2 linked regions of the Lepisosteus oculatus genome follow. Each later gene encodes a partner of the first gene's protein in a complex. Links are inferred from orthologs where the notes say so. Each region holds a gene or a part of one and is shown on either strand. Other genes may lie near its edges. The genes, in order: frs2a and ntrk2a.

Evidence for each region.
Region 2: the proteins of frs2a (region 1) and ntrk2a are in contact, whole or in part, in an NMR structure (PDB 2MFQ), measured with the Homo sapiens proteins. The link is inferred for Lepisosteus oculatus from reciprocal best matches to the Homo sapiens genes FRS2 and NTRK2. Residues at the interface, in NP_001036020.1 of Homo sapiens: Val26, Asp27, Asp28, Asp29, Gly30, Tyr59, Leu60, Cys61, Leu62, Arg63, Arg64, Tyr65, Gly66, Tyr67, Asp68, Ser69, Asn70, Leu71, Phe72, Ser73, Gly77, Arg78, Ile86, Ala88, Lys90, Phe98, Gln102, Met105, Gln106, Ser109; in NP_001018074.1 of Homo sapiens: Pro498, Asp499, Val501, Ile503, Gly504, Met505, Thr506, Lys507, Ile508, Pro509, Val510, Ile511, Glu512, Asn513, Pro514, Gln515, Tyr516, Gly518, Ile519.

The regions. Positions count from the first base shown.
Region 1 is NC_090702.1:23,424,559-23,436,633, forward strand, and holds the start of frs2a (fibroblast growth factor receptor substrate 2a), read right to left. Parts: upstream 5,133-12,075; 5' UTR 4,448-5,132; intron 1-4,447. UniProt on the Homo sapiens protein: Adapter protein that links activated FGR and NGF receptors to downstream signaling pathways.
Region 2 is NC_090698.1:61,692,453-61,705,148, forward strand, and holds the start of ntrk2a (BDNF/NT-3 growth factors receptor), read left to right. Parts: upstream 1-7,130; 5' UTR 7,131-7,191; intron 7,192-7,441; exon of another isoform or gene 7,442-7,534; intron 7,535-8,021; exon of another isoform or gene 8,022-8,152; 5' UTR 8,153-8,503; coding exon 8,504-8,709; intron 8,710-10,422; coding exon 10,423-10,497; intron 10,498-10,585; coding exon 10,586-10,657; intron 10,658-11,189; coding exon 11,190-11,258; intron 11,259-11,528; coding exon 11,529-11,677; intron 11,678-12,696. UniProt on the Homo sapiens protein: Receptor tyrosine kinase involved in the development and the maturation of the central and the peripheral nervous systems through regulation of neuron survival, proliferation, migration, differentiation, and synapse formation and plasticity.

The sequences.
Region 1 (12,075 bases):
CTCTGCAAAAGGCAAAAACTCACTGTGGGAGTGTCTAATACAGAGTCATTCCCACCCGTGTCTGCTCATCATCAGTTCATGAAGCGGCAAGAGCTTTCCAGTCAGAAATATGGGAAAACAATCTGACGAGAGGCTGTGTGAAGCTCTGTGTGATGAGGTTGTTAGAAACAGGACAGCTGAAGTCGAGTATTTGTGACTCTCAGAACAGACCAAAGAAACAAGTTAAATACAAGTCTAAACAAGCAAGCAGATCAATGAAGTCCTCAATTCGCAGTGGACATGTACTGTAGCTCAGTTAGAATGAAAACCAGCAGATAGTGATCCTCCTGGACCGGGGCTGGGAACCACTGATCTAGGCTCAGTTGATTACATGGGTGAAAGGCTCTTTTCACTTGTCCCCTGTCTGCCTAACTAACCTATCAAAAACACATCCACACTGCAACAGGCTCATAAACACTCAGCAAACTGGCAGATCGCAGAGGCTAACCGAGGCTGGGCCTGATCAGTGGCAGAATGGGTGACCTCTTGGGGAAAAACCAGGTTGCGGTTGGCCGACCAGGAGGCGGCAGTCACCCTCTCTGGTCCAGAGGCCTCTGGCTATCATCCCCTCGTGATGACAGGGGGGGGCACTGTGCTGAAAGTCATCCTTCAAAGGAGATAATAATAATAATAATAATAATAATAACAACTTACACTTATATAGCGCTTTTCTGGACACTCCACTCAAAGCGCTTTACAGGTAATGGGGACTCCCCTCCACCACCACCAATGTGCAGCCCCACCTGGATGATGCGACGGCAGCCATAGTGCACCAGAACGCTCACCACACATCAGCTATCAGTGGGGAGGAGAGCAGAGTAATGAAGCCAATTCATAGAGGGGGGATTATTAGGAGGCCATGATTGGTAAGGGCCAATGGGAAATTTGGCCAGGACGCCGGGGTTACACCCCTACTCTTTTCGAGAAACGCCCTGGGATTTTTAATGACCACAGAGAGTCAGGACCTCGGTTTTACGTCTCATCCGAAGGACGGCACCTGTTTTTTACAGTATAGTGTCCCCATCACTATACTGGGGCATTAGGACCCACGTGGACCACAGGGTGAGCGCCCCCTGCTGGCCCCACTAACACCTCTTCAACCCAGGACCTCAATGGCCATGGCACAGTTAGAAAACCTAGGGGCGTTAACCCTGGAGTCCTGACTAATCTCCACTCTGGGCTGGCACACCCTAAAACACCTAACCCCCTAACACCTAATTCAATCGGTGAAGCGATCCCAGTCTCCTGCACCTGACCGGCTGAGTACTGGGGGCAGCCCCACTTTGTTGGGTGGTTGGGGACGCGCGTCTCCTCCGTTATGTAAAGTGCTCTGGGATGAACAGCACCACACGCGGGCAGTTCTCACAGAACTGTTTCTTATCCAACAGGAGTCACAGGAATGTGACCAGGAGATCGACAAACACCCCCCACTTGATATATTTTTGCCAAGGTGGAGCACTGAGACACTAAACCTCACAGATGTATCTGCCGAGTACAGTATGAGGTACAGTATGACAAAGAGGGGGAAAAAACTCAGGCTATATTCCACAGCACCCAAGAGTCAATTATATGAATGAAGCAAACCAAAAAAAACAGTCATAGGAATATTCCTCTGGAAAAGCTTTTTTTACTCATTTATTTCCTACTGTTGTTTTGATTTCCTTCGTGTGAGTTCATGCAACTTGTTTTGCCTGTGTATTTGTGCTTTTACAGAAGAAGCACAAAAAAATCAGACTCTACATTTATTTTGAACAAAATGGCTCTCTTAAGGCAATTTAAAGGGAGTCCAAATGAAAGGCACAAACCTTTTTTACACTTAAGTAACTACATGTAAGTGTACGTGGAAAAGAAGCCACAATTTCTCCTGTATCTACAAGTTTTCTATGAGCCTTCTCTCGTGCATTTTTTAATTCGAAGCTCCTGAAACGGTGAAGAGCAGAGACGTTGTTAAATCGTTTCATTTAACGCTCCCATTGAAAGATACATTCAAAGTACCACAAGAGCTAAAGGGGTTTATATTTGCTTTGTATTTCGTTCTCTTAAATTCTTTGCACTGGGTTTAAAGTACTCACAGTATTGTATCACAGTAAAGGGCCGAAAAAACGTTTTGAGTGGGTTGCAAAGTGAAAGAAATAGACATAACATTGGGATTGTATGACTATGAGACTAAATAGTATAAAAAAAACATTATACGCAAGATTTTGTAATACACAATAATAAGTTAGCGGTCCGAAAAGCTCAAATACTTCCCAGTGCTGTGGGGTTCCGTTTGATTTGTTTAGCACAAATAAGCTTATATCCTAATTGAAGTACGGCTGTAACCCTTTTTTAGTGCTCGAAACGTTCGTTTTTCTTTTTTTTTTATCCAGAACAAACACCGATCAAAAGGTTTTGGCTACTCCATGAACACACAAGACAAAAATCTGCGAATTCGGGAAAAAAAAAATCCCTCTACGGACCGGAGTGAAAGTAAGCTGGTTATTACTGTTCTGACTGACACGGCGTTCTCCCGTTCATGGGTAGCTAACAATTACGAGCTGTGGGATGAAATTACTCGTTTTCCTGTCTGTCTGCTTTTCGAAGTAAATTTAACTTTTCAGCCAATTTTCTCGGAATCTTTAGCAGCTACCCAGACGGTTCGCGGTTTCAAACCCAAGATAAGGTGATATAATGTTTCGCACGACACCAAAATATCGAAAATAAGCACGACAGTCACCGGGTAAATACGAAAATACGACTTGTCGGCGCTACAGAAATATTACCAATGTTGTACATCACTACTAACTCCGATAAAACTAAGGTAAAAATAAATCAAATGGGCACAATTGTCCTATGCGCAATGAACAAAACCACACTTTTTATTTGATAGAAGGCTAAACTGAGAATACCGAGTCTAGATTAACAATAATTCCTAGACAACACCCAGGCAAAACACTTAGGAAACCATAAAGTATTTCTTGCATAAGGATTATCTTTAAACAATAGTTGGGAGTATAGCAGATAGGCTACTACCAAGTCTGAACAAAATACCTGACTTGAATTTGAAAAAGTCTGTTCTCTCTCTCTCCCTGGACTCCCCCCAAAAAAACTATAAAGGCGTAAATGTCAGCACCAATAATTTTAAGACTAGCAAGAAATGCAGAGAATTTGATTCCGTTATTCTCAAAACGCAGCTCCTTTTCACTCGAGGACCTCGCCAGTGGGGGGGGGGCGTGGGTCCGCGCACTGGCTACTAGTTAAACCCCCCTGGCGCTGCGCCAGCCCTTTCTCCCTCGAGTTACCTCATTACTCCTCAGCCGCAGCCTCGCCGAGCAAAACCCCCGTCCAGGCAAACACCCCCCCCGCCTTCCCTCCACACGAACAAACAGCAACGTCTCCAGCCCTCCGTCGCAGCGTCCCGCAACTTTACAACCGCGGACACGTCTTGAGAAGCTCTTCACCACGCCGAGCATTTAGTTTTGAAGCCAATTCAACCGTGGGCGCTCTTAAATTCTTTTTTTTTTTGGTCCATAAAAAATTCCTTTTACCTGTTGGTTATTTTAAAAAAAGAAACTCCAAAACGAACCGTTTCACTGTTTCCAATTATATCGAGGGACACCCCCCCTTCGGATAATTAGACGCAATAATTCCAATTAAGTGTAACTAGCCCCACCATTAACCACACGTTAATTGCAGGGTGTTATTTCAAAGCCCAGTTACGAATCCAGGTCCCAGGGGGTCCAGCTGTACAAGAAATCAACATTTTCTCAAATACTACGGTATATACAGAGGGTTTTACATGCATGTTTTACCACCTCTATCTTCGCCGCTGCACAGAAAGAAGACGTACAGCTTCGCTTTATTATTTAAATACCTCCCTCCACACACACACACACAAACGCAATGCCTCCCCCCAGCTTCAATCCAGCAAAGTTTTGAATGAACCCAGATACGTGCCACAACACAGGCACTCGGGCTGCCCCCACTGCCACGGTTGAAAATAACTCGCAAGCGGGCACTTCCCGAGCAGAATAAAAAACTCAGCGGACACGTCGGCCCCAACCTTATATACAAGGTTTGTTTTAAAGTTTTAAGGCGTCTCAACTCTTCGCCTCTCCTCCCCCCCCCCTCCTCACCGCATAGCAAAGCGAAACCACCACCACCACCCCAGTTTCTTAAAGCCCACACAAGCATAACAACACGCACCCGAAAGCGTGCGGAGAAACTCCCGGTCGAGGGGAGAGCGGGGTCTGCGAGGCGCCCGCCAGCCCCGCACGGCGGATCTGTCACGGACCGGCGGGCACCCCTCGGCCAGCAGCCTCCGCAGTGACCGCAGCGCCCGGGATAGAGCAGCGGGGAAGGGGGGGGGACCCTTCAGAACCAGCCAGCGCCGTTTTCCAGAAATGAATCAAAACTTTGGTGAACTTACGGGAAACGGAGGCTCGGGGAAAGTCGCGGAGAAGTCCCACTGGAGACGTGCGTCCCGGACTCCCGTGCGCCCGTGTAGCTGTGCTGCGTAAATCCCTTTTCCCGACTCGAAGGAGAGGAGGAAAAAGAAACCAACCCCAAGCCCAACTCCGTCTCCTCTCCCTCTACGTGCCAGAGCGCCAAAAAAAAAAACAAGCTCCAAACTTCACAAGCGGTTGCTTTCTCCCTTTTCCCCGCAAAAAAAAAAACAACAACACCCCCTTCGACAATTTTTTTCACCAACTTCTCGCTGTCGTCCTTTGTGCCTGCCGAGTCCGCGCGTCGTAGGGAACGAAATCCGGCGAAAACGCTGGTAAACAGAGAGCAAACAAGCCGAGCCAGCTGCTCTCCCGTCGCCCAGCCTTGGAAATCTCGCTCGACTGGCCAGCAGCTCCGGGAGCGCAGGGCCTCGATCCGCAGCCCGACTGCATCCGGGTCACCGCGCGTTTGGAAAGCGGGGGGCGAAGGGGTCGGGTCTGGGTTTCTCCCTGAAACCTATCTAGCGAGAACAATAGAGCTGCAAACGGTTGCCCCGTCTTTGGTGAACGAGTAAATGCACATTTCGAAGGCGTCATATTTATTGGAGACGGAGTTTAGGTTTTTGTTTTCGTGTGTGGCTACAAACTGTGTGAGCGAACTTTTTCAACCACGGAGGGATATTTTTCTGGTGCGCAAAAGACGCATCAGAAAAAAGTTAAATATACGTCGTTAAAAATAAAAAGATAATACAAATAAAAAAGTGTAAACTGCTAAGAAGCGCTACATGTGGATTTTTCTGAATGTTTTAGTGCTTCCAAACTTTTGGTTGCGAACTTCGTTAGTTGAATATGTTATGAATATGACAAAGTTTTGGTTCATACTGTAAATGTTACAGTCCTACACGGAGAAAAAAGTGTTTTCCTCGGAATTCCAAAACGTTTTCGTAGTTTCCTATTTTGAACTCTTAAAGCTGGACTGGAGTGTCTACAGTACAAAGCATTAAAAGGTTTGGAACACAAAACCTTTTTGGCTGGAACGCATCACACAATTAACTAAATACTGTATGATTAAGGTTAATACTTTAAAATGAAACTCTGCATTAAACATGGCAGCACTGCACTTAACACATTGTGTGGGTGAGTTAAGCAGTGGGCACAGTACCTCTATGAGGGAGTCAGTCCACTGATTGGTTAAGCCAATTACAATCTCCAATGTCTTCAATGTGCAGTCAGTGTGGATGGCTGATGCTCTGTGATTCTCAAATATGGATTTCTCTTTCTCTGTTGTAATGGACATCACACATGTATTGGTTCAAAGATGGATGCATCACTTATATAGGTTTTTAGTAATAAAGGCATGCTTTTTTTGCTTCCCTAACAGCACATCTCTCACTTCTTACTTCAACGAGGCTGTTTCTAGAGAATTTCTAACCTCTAGTGAGACCCTCTGCAGGAAAAGTTTGCTAGGTTTCCAGAAAGCCTTTTTCTTTTTCTCTTCCTTCTCTCGCTCTCATCCCTCCATTTTGTCCTCTGCAGCAATGGGTTTCAAGTGGCAAAAGCAGAGCGGTTAGGCGTGCAGTCAGAGTGCCCCAATCTTGAATCTTGGTTTCCTCTGGATTTCCACTGGAGACCCACAGCAGTTATGGCTGTGCTTCCAAGGGTCTCAACAAAATCTTAAGGCTTTTCAAGGGTTCATCAACCCCGGGTCTTAAAGCCCAATACCGGTGTCCAACCAGCAGCCATATCACCCTGCAACTCACAACTGGCAACCCACTGAAGCTAAGCAGGTGTGACCCTGGTCAGTACCTGGATGGGAGACCTCCTGGGAAAAACTAAGGGACACTATACTGTAAACAGGCGCCGTCCTTCGGATGAGACGTAAAACCGAGGTCCTGACTCTCTGTGGTCATTAAAAATCCCAGGGCGCTTCTCGAAAAGAGTAGGGGTGTAACCCCGGTGTCCTGGCCAAATTTCCCATTGGCCCTTACCAATCATGGCCTCCTAATACTCCCCCTCTATGAATTGGCTACATTACTCTGCTCTCCTCCCCACTGATAGCTGATGTGTGGTGAGCGTTCTGGCGCACTATGGCTGCCGTCGCATCATCCAGGTGGATGCTACACATTGGTGGTGGTGGAGGGGAGTCCCCATTACCTGTAAAGCGCTTTGAGTGGAGTGTCCAGAAAAGCGCTATATAAGTTTAAGCAATTATTATTATTATTATTATTAATTTCACAATGGTCTCGACAGTCTCAAGCCCATGTGGGACTTCATCAGAGGTTTTAATGGTCTGACTGTTTGAAGGTTTCGAGCCTCAGTCCACCTGCAGCTCCTATGTGCTCTACAATTCTTTGGTCTTAATATGGGCGAGGACCTTCCTCGAGGTCATGATTTTGTCTCAAGTCTTGATGGGGGACTGAAACTCAAGGCCCCAAGCCTCAAAAAGGGCATTTTCTCATTGAAGTAGACGCACCGTATGTCCTATGAGGTCACGGCCGAGCCCTGGACCCCTGCACAATTGTCTACTCCTCAGGGTCTTGACAGCCTTAAGTCTTGCTGTTGGACTCCAGCCTCGAAGTGGACATCTCCAGCTCAAAGTCAGTACGGTCTTGAGCCTTAATCAGGGATTGTGCCCATGAGGTTTTGGCAAGGTTTGATCCTGGACACAAACTCTTTCTCCCTGTAGTCTCAACAGCTCTTGTTAGGCGTGCAGTCAAAGTGCGCCAATTGGTTTTCACCCCCTTGAGGTCTTGACAGTGACTCAGCCCTCAGCAAGATGATACCCCTGAGATCCTCCATCCTCTAACTCCCCCAAAGCATAAGTCTTCAGGACTGCCAGATTCATTGCCAGTTCAATTTTCAATTAAGCTGCTGGTGTCTCAGGTCTTGCTGGCACATGCTGTGTGCTGATCATACTCACACCCAAGAGTGATGGTCTTGGCAATCCTTGGGGTGATATAGTGGAATCCCACAGGGATCTGTACTAGGACCACTATCATTCTGATTTATATCAATGATCTAGAGTCAAGTGTAGTTAGTAAACTAGTCAAGTTTGCCGACACAGACGAATACGAGGATTGGCAAACACTACTGAAAGGGCACATCAAATTAAAAAATAGAGATAAAATTCAATCGTGGCAGATAATGGTTAATACAGACATTAAGTGGAAGGGGCAAAACAAAGGAGCAATATCTAAGGGAAAATGCTGAGCTTGAAAAGGTTGTATATGATGACACATCATTCACATCTAGACAATATGGAGAAGCAATAAAAAGTCAAGGAAAATGTCAAGCATATATAGTTAAAAGATTAGAATTTAAATCAGTGTATCTTATGTTAAAAATTATGTTACATGCCTCCATCTTAGAAAGGGGACCTGCGATGTTGTACTTGCCGCCCAACCCTATTCCTGCACAAGGCCATGTGACATCACCCACCACACTCACCATCACCCGCCACGTTTTACTGTAAGACCTCCCTGGAGTCCCGGCATTGTCCCAGCTTCCCAGCATGTTTCATCTGGGGGCTGGTGCTCCCTCTCTCTGGCCATTCCATTGGCCCAGGGTGCATCAGCTCGTAGGGGGAAAAGATGGCAATGCCAAGTACAGTGACGTGCAACTGCGACTGCGACTGCTACTGCAACTGCCGAGGAGAGAAGTAAGAGTTACCCAAAGGAGGCCGTTTTGGGCTGCTTGCAATGCACAGATTACAAGAGAAAACCAACGCTGTGGCAAGCATGTGCAGAGCGCTTTGCGTGAACATAAGTCGCAAGGCCTGTACTTGACCGCAGATAACAAACCAGAGGACGAAAAGGAGTGAGAAAGCTGACTTGTTGTATTGTGGGACAGATATTTACTGACGTACAGAGGCTTTCTGCACCGCTGACATTCCACTACATAACTTAGACAACATTAGTACGAAAAGCTGTCTGAAAAAAACAGCGCCATAGCTGCCAGATCATGTCAGATCATCTCCAGAAAGTACTAACTATGAGTAAATGGTCATTTTACACTCTACAATTAATTAGTAGTCAAAATTAGATCTGTTGTTAAAACTGATATGTAAAGCATCCATATTGATGTAGCAAAAACTGTGTTATGTGAGTACATCTCCATGATTAGGGTGTTATTTTCCTGTGACCTGTCCGTGACATTTGCTAAAAATGCCTGTGTTAAAATCGTAGCCCTACCCCTGACCACAGCTCAGCCACACTTCTGCTCAGCCCGTCCTCCGTGCCTAAGATACTGTCTACCTTCCAGAAGACGCTTTCACCCTCTGAGCTGTGCTCGCTGTTAGTCCATCTTCTGTGTCCAGTAATGGCACTCTACATTTGTATGTGCCTTTTATAAGATCTGTGCACTTTTTTTTGCACTCTGAGGATGAGAACTGGGGTACCGCATTCTCCAAGAACCAGCAAGCCATTGCATTGTGGAGGTCCACGCAGGCGGTCCTGAGGGCTCATTCTGCTGGGGCCGCCTCCTCACGCTGGGCCATCTATAATGGGGCGTCAGTGGAGGACCTCTGACTAGCTGCAAGGCAGGAGCCACCTCCTACATTCGTCACTTTAGACATTTTGAACATTAAGAAGGTGGCGCGACCTTCTCTAGGGATGTAGAACTTTGCGGCAAGACTCTCAGAAGTCCCTTCCTGACCCTCTGTCCCTGTAGCCTCTGGCTATGGTTCGCCTGCCTGTTTTGCCACCGCTTGTGAACTCTTATTCCCAGGAGGAAGCAACTGCATTTCTCTTCAGAAGGAACGCAATCTTGCTATCATAATTCTCGTTCACCGAAAATAAACTGTTATCCTTCCAGGTCACTCTAGTGTCGACCTCAGACGGGCGCCAGCCTGACCAACAAATAATGATGAGCCACTATTATCAGCCCAGGTGACGATGGCAGTACTTTGTTTAAAGCAAACCTTGAGAGGCTGGTAGTGACAAAGGCAGTGAGCTCCCTAAGAGTGTCTGAGGGTAATGTTAAGAATACCCAGGTCAGTCGGGACATAACCTCCATGATTTACAACTTGCTTAGAAGTACAAAGATGAGACAGAAGACTTGTTGGAACAATGTTTTAAGGATAGGTGAGACCATGTGATGGAAAAGTAAAAAATTGTCGGAACAAAAGGAACTGCAGTTGCGCTATAAGAAGACCACCATCTGTGACACATAGCCTGGCCTGGGTATGTGTGGCCACCTCTGGAGCTGATCACAGGTCTTTTTTGATGATGTCACTAATGATGGCTGAGGCAGAATGAATTCTGAAGTTTACGGAAATATTTTATCTGCTTACGTAAAAGAAAACGCTTCCCTACATATTGGGCGAGGCTTCAGCGTGCCATTTGTCAGTGACATAAAATACATTGCCAGTGCCACCAAGGAGGTCACCAGGAGAAAAAAAATGCAAAATCTAAGACTGGCCAAGTAAATCACCAGATAGTAATCCAATTCAGCATGCGCTTTACCTGCTTAAGGAAAATCGTTCGTTAAAACACCCTTAGAATAAGCAAGAACTCAAAGTGCCCACAGCAAAGCATCTAGAATGATTGCACAAAGAGTTTGGTAAATTCAATGGGTCACGGGCTTCATGCAGTTATTAAATCAAAGAGGTATACAACCAAATACTAACTTTTACACTCTGATCTTTATTTAAAGAGGGTGTGTCCCAATACCAATGGTAATTTGAAATCACTGGTTCGAACACAAAGTATGTTTTTGTTCTAAAATGATCAAATGCACGCAAGGGATTGTGCAAAAATAAATGTATACTATATTGCACTTTTCTTTCATATTAATCTCATGATTATAAGCACAAATTGCTCGACTGTAAAGCAAAAATAATAGTTTTGATTTTGCTGTCCCAATACATTCGAAGGGCACTTTAGAAACCCCTGCCTCCCCCACTCATTCATGATTTTAAAACCTTCAGGAATAATAGCAGTGGGCCTGGAGGGATTTGTTTCTGTTCTGTTATCATAATACTAATTAAATTTGGTGTTCGCAACAGTTGTGCAGACTTGCAAGCACAATTTCACTGTATATCTGACGTTCTGCAAGGAATTGGCTTAAGGCACAGAAAATGTATTGATGTATTAAATGTATTGTTTCCTTTGACATTACCACAATATTGACTTAAAGCTATTGTATTGCGTATTTACTTCTTTTCCTTTTTTCTTATCCATTCTTTCTGATAGACTGTAAAATATCCAGATTTTGACCGACAATAAAAAAGGTCACATTACAGCTGGCTTGAGTGTAGGAGTGGATATTTCTCGGGGGTAGAAATGGGCAAAATTTAAAATGTTTGAAGTTTTGTGTTTTTATTTTAAATTCTGAAATGTATTTGACATTAAATAAATATTGCCCTTCTTTATACAGAAACTGAACCACTGAAAAAATTAAAGCATTAATGCCATTTTCCAAGCAACATGTAATAGTATATTATATTTTAAATTGTATTGCTTGCCTTCCCCCAGAGGAATGTATATCCACAACACAATAATTAAACATATTGAAAAGATACATTTAACAAATATTACATATTATGGTAATAAAACACTACCGAATCATTAATATTCCTTTGTCTTCCATACCTAGGTGCAGAATGTAATATTTTTATGGAAGTGTAAAGTTTTCAAGTGAACCTCTAAATGGAAACTTCTCAGAGATCAGTTTAGTTCATTAGCATACTTTCTGGTCTCAATTTAACAGCAGAAATAGCAGTCTTTGAATTACACTACTGCTATTCATCCATTAGCTCAGTTAAAGGCTTGGAGATGTAATCTTTTTTTCCTATATTTCATGTTTCACTGTCACTTCTGAAGAAATGCACTGGGTTGATTGTATCAAAGTATGTCTCATCCTTCACAAATGCTGGCTGAATTTGGTTTTAGTAAGTTAATAAGATAAGAAATATCTCTTAAAATCTAAAACACCAAGTACGTCACCTGAGGCTCATTACAAAACATTTGTAAAATGTGTGAAACGTAATGAAAGCATAGATGTAAAGCTGGAACAATAAAGAAAAGTTGGGATGGACAAAGGCATCTGGTATCTGTCAGTATTTCTTTATTTTTGATTAATCCAGCTTTGAATCTCAATGTAACTTTCTTTCCTTCTTTTTTTGGAAATCCCTAAATTGTCAAATTAGGCTAAAGTCCCACTATTATTGAGGTGCAGTTGAGAACCACCATTTTCATACAATGAGAGTTTCTTTTTAAAATAGAACACTAACACTATGGTCGTTTGCATCTCTTGGCTCTTCCTTTAAGACAGAAAAAAATACAGGAGTTCTACGTCAATAAAGGTTAAGGAGAACGGATTCAGAACTGGAAAGAGTTATGAATGTTAATAGGGTTGGAAAAAGGATTTTTAGTTTGCAACTACTGTTTCAGAAATAAAATAGGTCACAGTTTCCACTAGGAATGATGAGAACTAGAACTAGGATGGAAAAACAAACAGATGAAATTGAATAAAAGCTTGTTTCATAGACACACGTACGCCAGCCTTGTATATAGATTACACCATGGCTGCAGTTTAATTGCAACCTTTCTTCGAAGGCAAAAGTAACTATAATTCCGGCATTGAATCTACTTTAAAGTTAATCTGTATGCTT
Region 2 (12,696 bases), on another chromosome or scaffold:
AAAATATTAAAAAAATAAAATAATTATATTTAAAATTAAAATTTAAACACTATTATTATGAAGCAAAAGCACTTAATATATGTACTTTACTTTCTTTGGATATCTGTGCCCCATCTTTAATGAATGAAGATGTGCATTGAAAAATAACTCAACATATACATTATTTAGAAGTTTTCTTTTGGCTAAAAATTTTATGAGCAATTACATTTAAATGTAGCCTAACTATGGCAAATATAGGAAGACAATAGTGAAGATGCTGGGAGGCTTCTATGAATAATAGATCAACTATACTAAGAGGCTAACTCACGTAAGGACTTATGTGCATCTTATAAGTCTGTTTACGTCACTACAATGTATTTTGGTTCTGTGAAAAGAAGGCACCAGATATTAAATGGTCACAACTTTGATTTATGCTGTTTTTTCTTGTTGATTTTATTAGTACAACTAATGTGCCATTAAAAAGTACTTCATATCCCTGGTCATGTTGTGCAAATTATTAAAAGCATTAGCAAGGATATTGTTAGGTCTGAGGTCACACTTTTAAAGACGGCGCAATAACATGGTCAAAGTTCTGTATGGAAAGAACCATTAATCTTTATTACCTATTAAAAGATGTGCAAGTGCAGCTTTTCAAATATGCCGAAACACTTAAGAAACCAAAATCCAAGATCTAAGAAAAAAATTAAATGAGGGCTTGATTTATTCTCTTATACTGTTCTTATACTGATATTTCATCATCTGAGAACATTTGCAGTATAACTAGTAAGATTAAAATAATTTATGATATAGATTACATGCTGCATTAAAGTCAGACGTGATCCTTCCTCACTTAGGTTTTCCACAATTAAGTAAAACAGTGGCTTTTGTTTGTTTAAAGCAGACAGGGGGAATACTAGCATCTTGGGTAAAACTTGCCTTGGTCCACTGATATTTTCTATAGAGACCAAACTTAGATCATCTGGTTGGAAAGTGTGATGTGTCAGAGGATTCATCAAACAAAGGGGAAGTGAATCCGGCTAAGAAAACCCAGGTGTTTCCAAACATTTGCACTACTGAACCATCAAACACACAAAGAAAATGAATCTGTGCTGCACAACAGGTCAAAAAGTATTCCTTAGAAAACATCAGGCAAGGAACTTAGAAGCCAGTGGGGAACATGCACCATGACCTCCTCTTCTTCAGTGAAGGCAACTCAGGAAAAAGGTTGTTGAACTCAAGTGCATTTAGCTGTATCTAGTTTGAAGAACGTTAAAGGAAACAGTTTAGTCCAGATCATCATCATTGACAGGTTCTTGAGGTCTTAAGAGCACTCACATTTTGGCTCTAAGTGATCTGTATATTCCTAAACTCAATAAATCACCTGCTTTATCAATCCCAATGACATTCCTCCATGGATTTTTTTAAAGAAAAGATCTAAAGTTCTTTTTTTATTTGGAGATCGTCTGTTGTTGTTGAAAAAAATAACTATATATATATATGTTTATACACAAATATAGCAAATAAATAAAACAAATATTATTCTTTAACAATAACTTACTCTTATAGTCACTTGACCAGAAAAGTGGAGACTATCCTTTTAATACCGTATATGTAAACCTGCACCTTTTAATCTAGCACTCGACAGTTCATTTTGAAACATGTCCCAAAACACAATTAGCCAGCAATGTTATGTGGCCATAAGAGGTTCAGTCCAGAGCTTAAGTATGATTTCCCTTAGCTGCTGTTAAACCCACCAATATATTTTGTGTTGCATTACTTTAAAACCACTCAGCGAGTGGTCATCTTGATACAAATTAACAGAGATCAGGTCTCAACTCTGATAAAACAGATATTATGCTAGCTACATGTTTCAATAATGCTGCTGAAGCAGGATTGTTCCAGAAACATGAAGAAAAGTACAAGGTGCATAAGTTTTACTCATATTACAAGGCAAATATGAGAAATTGATATATTCATGGTAACCTATTGGATTAGGGTTCTTCAGGAACCTGGAGTATTATGTTCAACAAAACATTATTTTCTTTCTTATAATTTTGACAGACATTGTATCTGAAATGATAAAACTGGATTTTTTGTAATCATCTTCTCTGGGAACATTGGCACAAATAATCATGGTTATAAGACTGCCTGACAAATTGAGTATGACTAAATGATGAACAAAGAAGACAAAAACATCTAAATGGATCCATGAATGAGCAATTTAAGTTATAGAATAACTAATTACTCAAGTAGGTTAATCTATCCTCATATTTGTACAAAACAGATAGGGACATACCAGAAGCAAGAACAGACAGAAGAACACTAATGGCGGGCGTCGTAGCTGATGACAATGAAGCTATTGCTTCTGGTGTGGCTCAGATGTTATTAATTAAAGCTACAGATTGTCTTAGTGCTTCTTAGAGTTTGGGTTGATTTCTTTCCTTTATCTTGGAGTGCAGCAGAAAACGAGACAGCTTGTTGTTACATTTTCGCAGCCAATCACATTGTGCCATTTAGACGGACCACCTACATTGGGTCATAATTCACCTCTCACATACACATTAAATGTTATCACACTCTCCATTTTACCTCTCACAAACACACACAAAACGCTCTCACATTCAACAGTTTTGTCTCTCACGCTCACATTGTGAAGGAGTGTTTTATATATATGTGCGAGGTAAAACTAGCTTTAAACCGAGGAAGCAGTTATCTGTTCATGGATACACATATTTGTCCGATAATAAAGAATGAGCATTGCTATATATTTTATTTTCTCCCTGGCATATCTGTAAAGATTTTTGAACGGTACTGTACACTTGGGGAGGTTTTTACATGAGCTGGCCTTGCTATACAAAATCTTTTACGGAGGAACTGGAGTTAGAGTGGCCTATGTTGAGAAAAAGCATTAGTGCACCCTAAGCTAATAAATCCCTTCATATAGCCCTGATACTACATTAGAAATTCAGGCTTTGTAAGTATCAGACCATGTCATTGGTATTTGTCACGACCACCAGCCTGCCCAGACCAGCCCCCAAGAGAGCTAACCAGTGTCAGCAGCAGGGCGATACTTACAAGTGCCGCTGCACGTGTTAACTCAGTACCGGAAGCCCTACCGTGCGGCCAGCTGCAGTATTTTAGCCATTCAGACCCACTTCTTGCTGCTCCGTATTGAGTCTACTCTTTGAGAGCTCTACCTGGCATTTATTCTGTACCTCACACTCTTCTGGATTCTGGACTTCCCTTTTGCCTTTTGACTTTGGACCTCGCCTCTCGTTTTGGATTGTTTGCCACTATTTGTACTTCTTGGATTTCGAACCACCTTTCTCCTTTTGACCACGAACTCGCCTGACATACCGGATTGTTCGCCTGCCTCGACACCTACCTACTCCTGCAATCCCAGTGCAGGAGTAATCCACATATCTCTTCACTGGGAATTCCCTACAGTATTTGGATTAATAATAGGGCCTAGTTTATTACACAGTTTATACTGTAATGTCTGTGCTTTCACTTGTTATACATCACCTTGAAATAGCCATCTGTTAGCAACTCTGTCTCATCATCTCCTGTACTGTCAGAGCCTTTACTGCAGATTACTGCTTAGAAGAGAGGGATTCAGAAGCAGTCAGTTTGATTAAGCATAAACATGGTAACACACTTTGGACACCCAACCAGAGCTACTGATCAGAACAATAATCATAAGGTTAGACGTCTTTTAATGCTCTGAATTAAAACATTCAAATATAAAGAGATTATATATGATAAAATGCAAATTTAACTTAACTATTTAACTATCTAATAAAATGCAAAATTTCAAATTGTATTAAATGTAGGTTAAAAGGAGTGCAGACTAGATGTAAACTTGAAAAGAACAGATTTTGTCTGGAAGGATTTTAGCCTACTGTAAGGAGAAAACATAAGACATAAAGGTTGAACCAGAACAAACAGCCTTTGGTGATTCAAGTACATGTCAATTGTTTTACCTTCAATTTGCTTAGGTAAAATACATTGTGGAACAAATGCCAGGTCTCAAGTAATGTACAATTATCCAATAGTTCTCAAAAAGTTGATTCAGTGGGATATTTTGGGGGGAGTGAAAAAAAAGATTGTTTTTGAATGTCTGAATTACTACTAAGAACAAACAAGGCCCTTATAATATTGATTTAATTATATTTAATATAATTAGATAAACACAAAATTATTGAGTGAAGCACATTATCCAGCTCTCTACATTAATCTTATATGGGCAGACTTGCTGATTTTGCAAACCTTGAAATATTCTTAGACACAATAAAACAGGGAGAAGATTCCCTAAGTGAATCAATGCTAAATATGCGCCTATTAGACACTGGGCCATTTTTCAATTACAGCTGCATGTCAATTTTCCTTGCGAATTGTCTGAGTCTTTTAAGATGTACTTATCAAGAAAAAATATCAATGTTAAGAGAATGGTCAAGTATTTTTTCCTTGCATACATAGACTTCAGTTGAAAAGGTAGTTGGAGAACAATTATAAACATCCAGTGAAAGTCATATCTGTTTTGAAACGTTGAAATGTGATTGTTATTAATTTAGTTAATTTTGAAATCTTTTGCCTCTCTACCCAAAGTCATTTAAGGAGTGCAGAATATTTGTATAAGAAGTATGTATAAGATAGCAGTCAAAGGAGAGCATCTACTTCCACGATGGACTGATGAGCAGACAGATTGATGGGCAGCTACAGTGGCAGGATGAGAGCTTGAATTTGAAATTCAAAACGTAGTTAGCTAGTTATCTGGCTCGGCTGGGAAATGGATAAAGGGCTGGTCTGTTTCAAACTTCAATACTGGATACTCTGGATGGGATCAGGTTGGATTGTTTACTGGTCCTGTGGTATGCCAACACTGGCCAATGTATTCATTTTACCAGTGTAATGACTGTCATGTGTACAAATTTAATTTAGTGCTATCTAGGAGGCAGAAGTGCTCATCTGGAGCTTGTCATAGAAAATATTGTTAATATGCATGTATTCTGTAAAAACAGGCAGATAATGTGTTTAATGCTGTATTGAAATATTATTTTGTAGTTTTGAAGGATAACCTGTAGTTATAGCTTTTGTTCATTGCATTAGACTGTAGGTTTTGTCATTTCTGATTACTTATCTTGTAACAATCATAACTCTATCTAGTAACAGTTTGTGCAAAGACTCTACAAACATCACAGTTGGAAAGCACTGCCTGCACTAAAACCTCATTGATCCTTTTGAACTTTATTGTTTGAGTTGCAAGCAAAATAATTTAAATAAAATCAGATGAGATCATTCACAGATGAAGAATTCAAGAATAATGTCAATAGGAATAATCTTTTTGCCTTTCAGTGTTTCAGTCAATAATTACAGCCCACATTAATTATCAAGCTAGTCCAAACAAGCTTTTTTGTTGCTTCAAGGAACAACATTCATAATCCCAAACAAGTTACAAAAACTTTGAAAGTGCCAGTAAGAATTTTGTCATCAATAAGGAATGGCTTGTTTTCAGATTTCATATTTTATTTTCTTTAAAGTTTCTTTGGAATACGGTGTGTGTATGTGTGCGCACCTTTTTTTTCCAATACATTTTTGGCTAAATTGGACCACATTAGCAGCTCCACAGCTGAAAGGTTGTGTTTCTTTTCATCTCTTTTCTGAATGAAATAAACCTTTATCTGTTCCTTTTCAGCCTACACATGCGGACACAGCTACCTACTGTATTTGCTACTCTTGGTTTCCTGTACATGAACAAGTTCTAATTTCAAAGTCATGCATAACCTTGAATGCCTTCTGTCTGTTTCATACTGGGAAAAACACAATCTTGTAACAATTGCATTTAAAAAAGAGTGGTTTTGCCAAGGAAATATGTGTAGAGGTGTTTTTTAATACCTTTCCATTATGTAAATCACATACAGTAGTTCCACTTGTTGGGCTGTACAGAACTGCAGCTGACTTGACGTTGCCTGAATTCTCAGTATGAGCCTTCAAAATGCTGATGATGGCATATTTTTGGACATTTTACCGTTTTTTCTTATGATTCACAACTATACTGTGTATCATCAATACTCTTCATCCCTTGCCTCCGTACAGTTCCTTCTCAGATTTGTGCTCTTTGGATCTTTATCCTCCTTGCTGGAGACTTAGTGGGTATTGCCATTCTTGGGAACCATTTCAGAATGTCTGCAGTCCAATACCAACACATAATACATTAAAGTTCATACTATGTACAGTATACACAAATGCTTATTCATCATGACCTGTATGTAATAAATACAATAAGCCTCTGAAGACGCAAGGGCGCAGCTAGGTCAAGGGATTGTGTATTATTCACATGTGCAGATTTTCTAAAGTCTCGCTAGGTGTCAGGGCAGCCATTTAAAATGTGCCTATCACTCTGCTGAATTACTGCGGTACAATGTCTGGAGCCAAATGAATCGGCGTATTCCCAGAAAACACATTGTCTTCACCTTTCGGCAACCACGATCCCACAATTACCACGGTTAACAACAGGTGCTCTTTATTATCGTTGTGTGGGTGGAAAATAAAAGCTCGCTTTACAAGTTTCTTATCGGCAAACGACGAACAAATCTCTGTACCCTGAAGGTTATACAGTAGAATACAGCTTGTCCCTTAAAGTGAAGCATTTAGTCATATATACTGTATATACACATTGTTATTTATACATACATTATACATATTTAAATTAGACAAATTTAGAATTTTGATAATAGATAGCGCGACAGAACTCTTTTAGTAACCTAAAGGGGTTGAATTACATATAATGCAGATACTATTTGTGTAAATACGATCTATTACATGTAATCATATCAAATATAGACTATTATGAAGAATGTGTGAGGTGTGTTTATGCTGCGGTAAATCCGTGAGGAGAACATCGTGACTTCGTGCTAGGAAAATGGGAAATTCCCATTTGGTGACATTACGTGACAAAAACACGGAATTACACTGCAGGCGAAAGTTTTGACAGACACGACTAGGTGTCTTGTGACGCTGGAGACAGGGTTTTATTGCGTTTCTGCCTCCTTGAACTCTGAGCATTATCCTGTAATTTCTCAATTCTTTATGCAATGTATTTCCTGTATAAATAATAATTTATACAGAAGCGATGCTGGTCCAGTGTAATTGCTGCGGATATACAGTATTAGTGTTTTCAACGGCTGTTTGCTGCTGATTGTTTTTTAACAGGTGATATTGCCACTAACACACATTTAGAAACCTCGAAGCGTACTTCACTTTTTTTGCGCTAAATACAGACACTATGCTTGCGTGTACATGTTTAGTTTCAAAATTGTAAAGATAAAAGCAAAATATTTGGAATCACTTCAAGCATTTTACAGTAGGCATTTTGGCGTATTTCTGATTTCTGAGATTCTCTCAGAATCTCATATTTGCGTCAAATATCACGTCACATTCACAGCTATTGGAATACACTACGTGAGTGAGTGCCTATGTGTGTGTGTGTGAAACAACGCGGCACATTGACTCTCATCCGATATTTGGTAATGCTGGATTTAGTGACTGGCAATAGGTATTGTTAAACATTTTCTATAGCATTATTTTGGTATCCATACATTTCCTACCTCACATTTTATAGGTACAGTACAAATCATATCTTTAATCAGACTGTAAATTAAACACACTTGGAAGCTTTTACCGCTTGCTTGTTCTGAGGTACAGTATATCACTGCAGCCTCATCAGGTAATATGAAGGTGTGCCTTTGATTAAATTCAAACATTTTTTTTAATCTGATTTTCTCGAATGTCAATCTCCTTTCGAAATTTATATTCCGGTGTAGGTTGTCTCACCATGTTTTAATATAATGGTATTCTAAATGATTAACATGTTTCATGCCATGCAAAGCCAGTCTCCAGTTTTGTCTATATAGGATTTATTTTGTTCTGTTCTAGCAATAACCTTTTGCTCCTGGAAAATCGCAGCGAAAATCATTTCTGATATCAGGCTCGTAATTACAACGAGCGGCTGTTGTAGGTTTATCGCGTGTGGTAATTATCGATATACGACTGCTGGTACTCGGTACCTCCTTGCCTTGTCCTCATCACGCACTTACTCGCTCTTTCACTACAGCACCACACGCTCGCTTCAGCCTGCGTGGATCATCTCTGCCTGTTTTTTTTTTTCCTCCAGCCCTGCAGCAGAAACGGAGCAGCAGCAGCAGCAGCAGCAACAGCATCATTTTTTCTGTGGTGTTTTGCACCACTGCGATCAACCAGCCAACCCAAATCTCCTTGGAGAGTGAAGACACCGAACGAAAAGGAGAGAGGGGGGAAGGAAACCTTGGCACACTTTAAAGCCTTTACATTTAATATTGTATGACTCTCTTACTGCGGAGAGAGAAAAGACAATTCGATCACAACCTCACCTCTTACCGAAAGGATTATCTCATGGTTTTTCGCCTTTGTTTCTGACAAGATCGCCGACAGGTTTATAAGGAAGGATCATTTAACCAAATCTGGAAAGGGCAACGAGGGATCCACTATGATCTCCTCTTGGAAGTGGCGTGTAATGGCTCGTTTGGGATTTTGTTGGATTTTGCTGGGGCTTTGGAGGTTTAGCGCCGCTTGTCCTGCAGTTTGTACATGCAGCACCTCAAGAATTTCATGTACCAGTATCGATCAAGAATGGGGAATCAAGGCTTTCCCTGTATTAAACACCGATATAGAAATGGAAAACATTACTGAAATGTGAGTATCATCCACATGAGAGATGGATACGTTCAGGATTGGAATAATGTGTCCAGTTGTACTACAAAAATCATAACGAAACGAAAATGAAAAAAAAACATTAAGACGAAACGCGTTGCAATGTGCGGTGAGCAAAGCCAGAATTAAGTTTCATTCAAGCAGCATCGTGCAAGGTTGACTTATCGGCTCATCTGTTACAGCGGGCTAGTGTTAAAGAAAATAAAATCACTGGAGGACATGTGTGGAAAGGATGAGCAGAAAGATTGAAGGAATGTATCAAAAGGAAGCTCCGGCAGATTGTTTTCAGAGTGCTTTTAAAATAAACTTGTAAAGTGGCCAATTCTGTTCACACAAATACACTGGAAGTAAATGGATTACTGTATATGTTAGGTTTATGTAGATCTTAAAGGATTGTCAGTGGTAAATGCGATGTACACTGTACTGTACTGTATGAGCCATTAAAGGGCAGCATCAGTTGAACTACACGCTTATATGTATGTTCAAACAGTGGCCGTGGTATAATTATTTAACTAAAATGGACCCAATACCCGACACTAGACAACGTGTGTGGAACAAGAAACACGTATTTGCGAAAACGACTTTCAATAGGATGTATGTCATTTTTTCATTGGAAAGGTGCTGAAATGTGGAACGGCTTAGGCTGCTGCTGCTATCAGCCAGTTTTGCATTCCCGTAATAAGAGGATTGATAGACTGTAAAGGAACGCAACCCTAGCAAAATCCGAGCAAAGACGCGGCATATTAGAATCACTCCCTACAGCAAACGAATTTAGTTCTTGGCTCACCTTTAGTTTTAGATACGATAAATTGACTTTTTATTGGTCAGCTAGGTTATGCAGAAGCATAGCTATTATACATCAGCTGTGGTGTGAAATTATAAGACTGTTATTCTTCCTTTTTTATAACTATCTTATTATTGAAAAGATAGACTGCTGAGATAAAAAAGGCCCTAAACATAAATGTGGCCATTGAAATTTAAAGGAAGCAGAGTCGTATAATTCGCTACACATTAATCCGCGAAGTGTCTTTTTTGCTAAAGACTTAACATCAAGCCCCTTAGGTACCTGAAACTATTTTTTTCTTATTTGTTGTACAAGGTAGATTTCTTTCAAACAGACGATAGAGCGCATTTAGTGTAGCCTTATTTTATACTAGTTATTTAGGTTCTTAGACTGTATAATTTGCTGCGATATAAAGTCTTCAAACACTGTGATATAACTATGGGGAAACCACCAGTGCATCAAGAAAAGCGTTAATTGACACACAACTGTTAGATCGATCCAACTTTGAATTTAAGAGACTAGATCAATTAATCGATAAAAAAAAATTCACCTCGCCAGCTGTTTTCATCAAAATATTTTAAGGCCTTTACTAAGGCATACAAAATGACTAAAGCATGTAGCCCACTTTATAGAGGCGTTTTACAGAAGCGATTATATAAGGAATTGCTAAAAAGCAATAACTGGACTTAACATAAATTAATTGATAAAATATCTTAAAGGGCCCTCTTTTTTATAAAAGCACAACACACAATGAGCAAAGGGATTCTTTAATAGTTTTTGGAAATGACAAAAATATTCAAGAATGGTTAGTGAACATGTAAGGCCATTATTTTAAGTTATGCACATTATATTATTAACTGTGTAAAAGGCAAATTAATTTTTTGTAACATTATTTTAATGTCTTTTAACAGATACATTGCAAATCAAAGTAATTTACATGCCATCACCGATAATGATGTGAAGTTCTATAAGAGCCTCAGGAATTTGTAAGTATCAGATATTAAAAACAGCAATGATAATACTTATGACAACAGTCGACAACAACAATAATCATTTTGTTTTCATTGTCAACAGAACTGTGACAAACTCGGGATTGACTTATATATCCCGTTTGGCCTTTCAGAACAATGTGAAGCTACAATATCTGTAAGTAATGGTTTTGTAAGTTGTAAGTTGAGTACTTTCATTTCAGTTTATGGATAAATGAAAAAAAAAACTTAATGTTATATACACATTTTTAATTATTTTAATAAATTACTAACATCTAGTGTACAACATGAAAACCTAGTTTTCTTTTTCAGTCATGTACACATACTTTGGTGTTCATTTGGATTTCAAGTGATTAATTTTAAAATGTCTTGACAAAGGGGAGTGTGCTAAAAATATTGTATTTTTCTTTTTGCCACAAAATGATTCAGACATTTTACATTGCAGCAGGTTCTTTATATCTACAGTATATCTCAGTGACAGTGTTCAGATGTATTGTGATTTTATAACCGGTCAAGAACTATAAATACAATTCTGTGTGCAGCACAATTTGAAACTGAGCATGGTGTCTTCTCAAATAAGAGCCAAATCCTAGCGTTGGCTGATGTACTAATAGGCCTTGTCTGCTAGGTTTACTCACTGCGTGTTTTGTGCTATGAAGGTGTTTATTTGTGGATTGATTGAATTGCAGGAATCTAAAAGACAACAGGCTGTCATCATTGTCTTGGAGGACCTTCCGGCATTTAAACTTGACAAGTTTGTAAGTATTTGTGATAAAGCAAAATATCTGTCTATGGGATTGTTTGATAAAATATGCATGCTTTTACCTTAGGAAAGGCTGATATGAATCCTTTTTGTGTGACACAAGCAAAAATATGTTTTTTTGTAAATTCAAGATAATTGAATAAAATACAGAATAAAGTAGTTTTACCCAGTAAAAATAAACTTTGCCACGGATTTCCTTTATTTTCTTGTCTTTTTAGAACTGTCTATCAAAATAGCACTTTAATGTGAAAACCCTGCCATTTAGTATCCTTTCAGGCAATCCTTTGCAGTGCTCATGTGGTAACTTGTGGATCAAGCTATGGCTGGGAGATGAAACAGAGAGCCAAGAGATAGTGTGCTGGGATGACAAAAATAGAAATAAGCCACTCTCCAAACTGTCTCTTCCAGAGTGCGGTAATTTCAATTTTACTATTATTAAAATTAACCCCCGAATAAAATGCACATGATTTATTTAACCATGCAATTTGGTGTACTATATATAAAAACATGTATTTTCATTAAAAAAAAAAACTGTTGAAGGGCTTGTTGTGAAATAACAAGTGGTGGGATGATAGTTCAATTATTAAAGATAACTTTTGAAAAATAACTGAAAAATAACACGACGTTTAGCATTTAATATGTTTTACGTGGATGAAGGGTAATGGTAAAGTTCTGGGTCTGGCATTCTTCCTTCGCCCACTGGAGTTAATGATAATGCATTCAGGTTCTGTATTCACAGTGATGGCATTTCATTAAGATGCATTATCTGGTCAAACACATTTCCTCTGCTTCAGAAGCAAAAGGAACTTGATTGCAGTTGTGTTCAGAAAAAGCTTAATATGTTAACAAGTAAGACATCACTCTTTTGCCTTTGAAGTAAATGTTTCTAGTTTTTTATCATCCAATGATGATCCTTCCCATTGTGTAATTTAGATCTGTTTACCTTTCATTAAGGGTTTCTTTGCCAACCCTGGACTATATTGAAATTATAGTATTCATTTAAAGAGCTTTATCTGTCTCACTAGGCTTTACAGAAGCTATAGAGAATAGTTGTAGGCCTTGACTTTTTGGTTCTAAATGAACTTTGGTACCCAGTTTGGAAATAATTATTAAACCAACAGTGTGCAAAATAAGAAGCATGCAGATTAATAACGGTTTAGTCAAATTCTTATACTGTATTAAATTCAAGGAAAAACACACGTTCCTTTTTTCCAACCATGCCATAATTTTATTTTCAATATACTTTCATTTAAAAAAATCACATGATGTATCTTAAACACATGTGGTAGATTTTTTAAAATTAAAGCAGATTGGAAATAAAATAAGGGCTTGGCTGGAAAACAAGGACCTGGCACATCAGAAGTGAGTATATAAAGAGATTTCCTTTGTTTGATTCTTTAGTACAGTTGACCTGTATTCAGATTTGTGCCTTT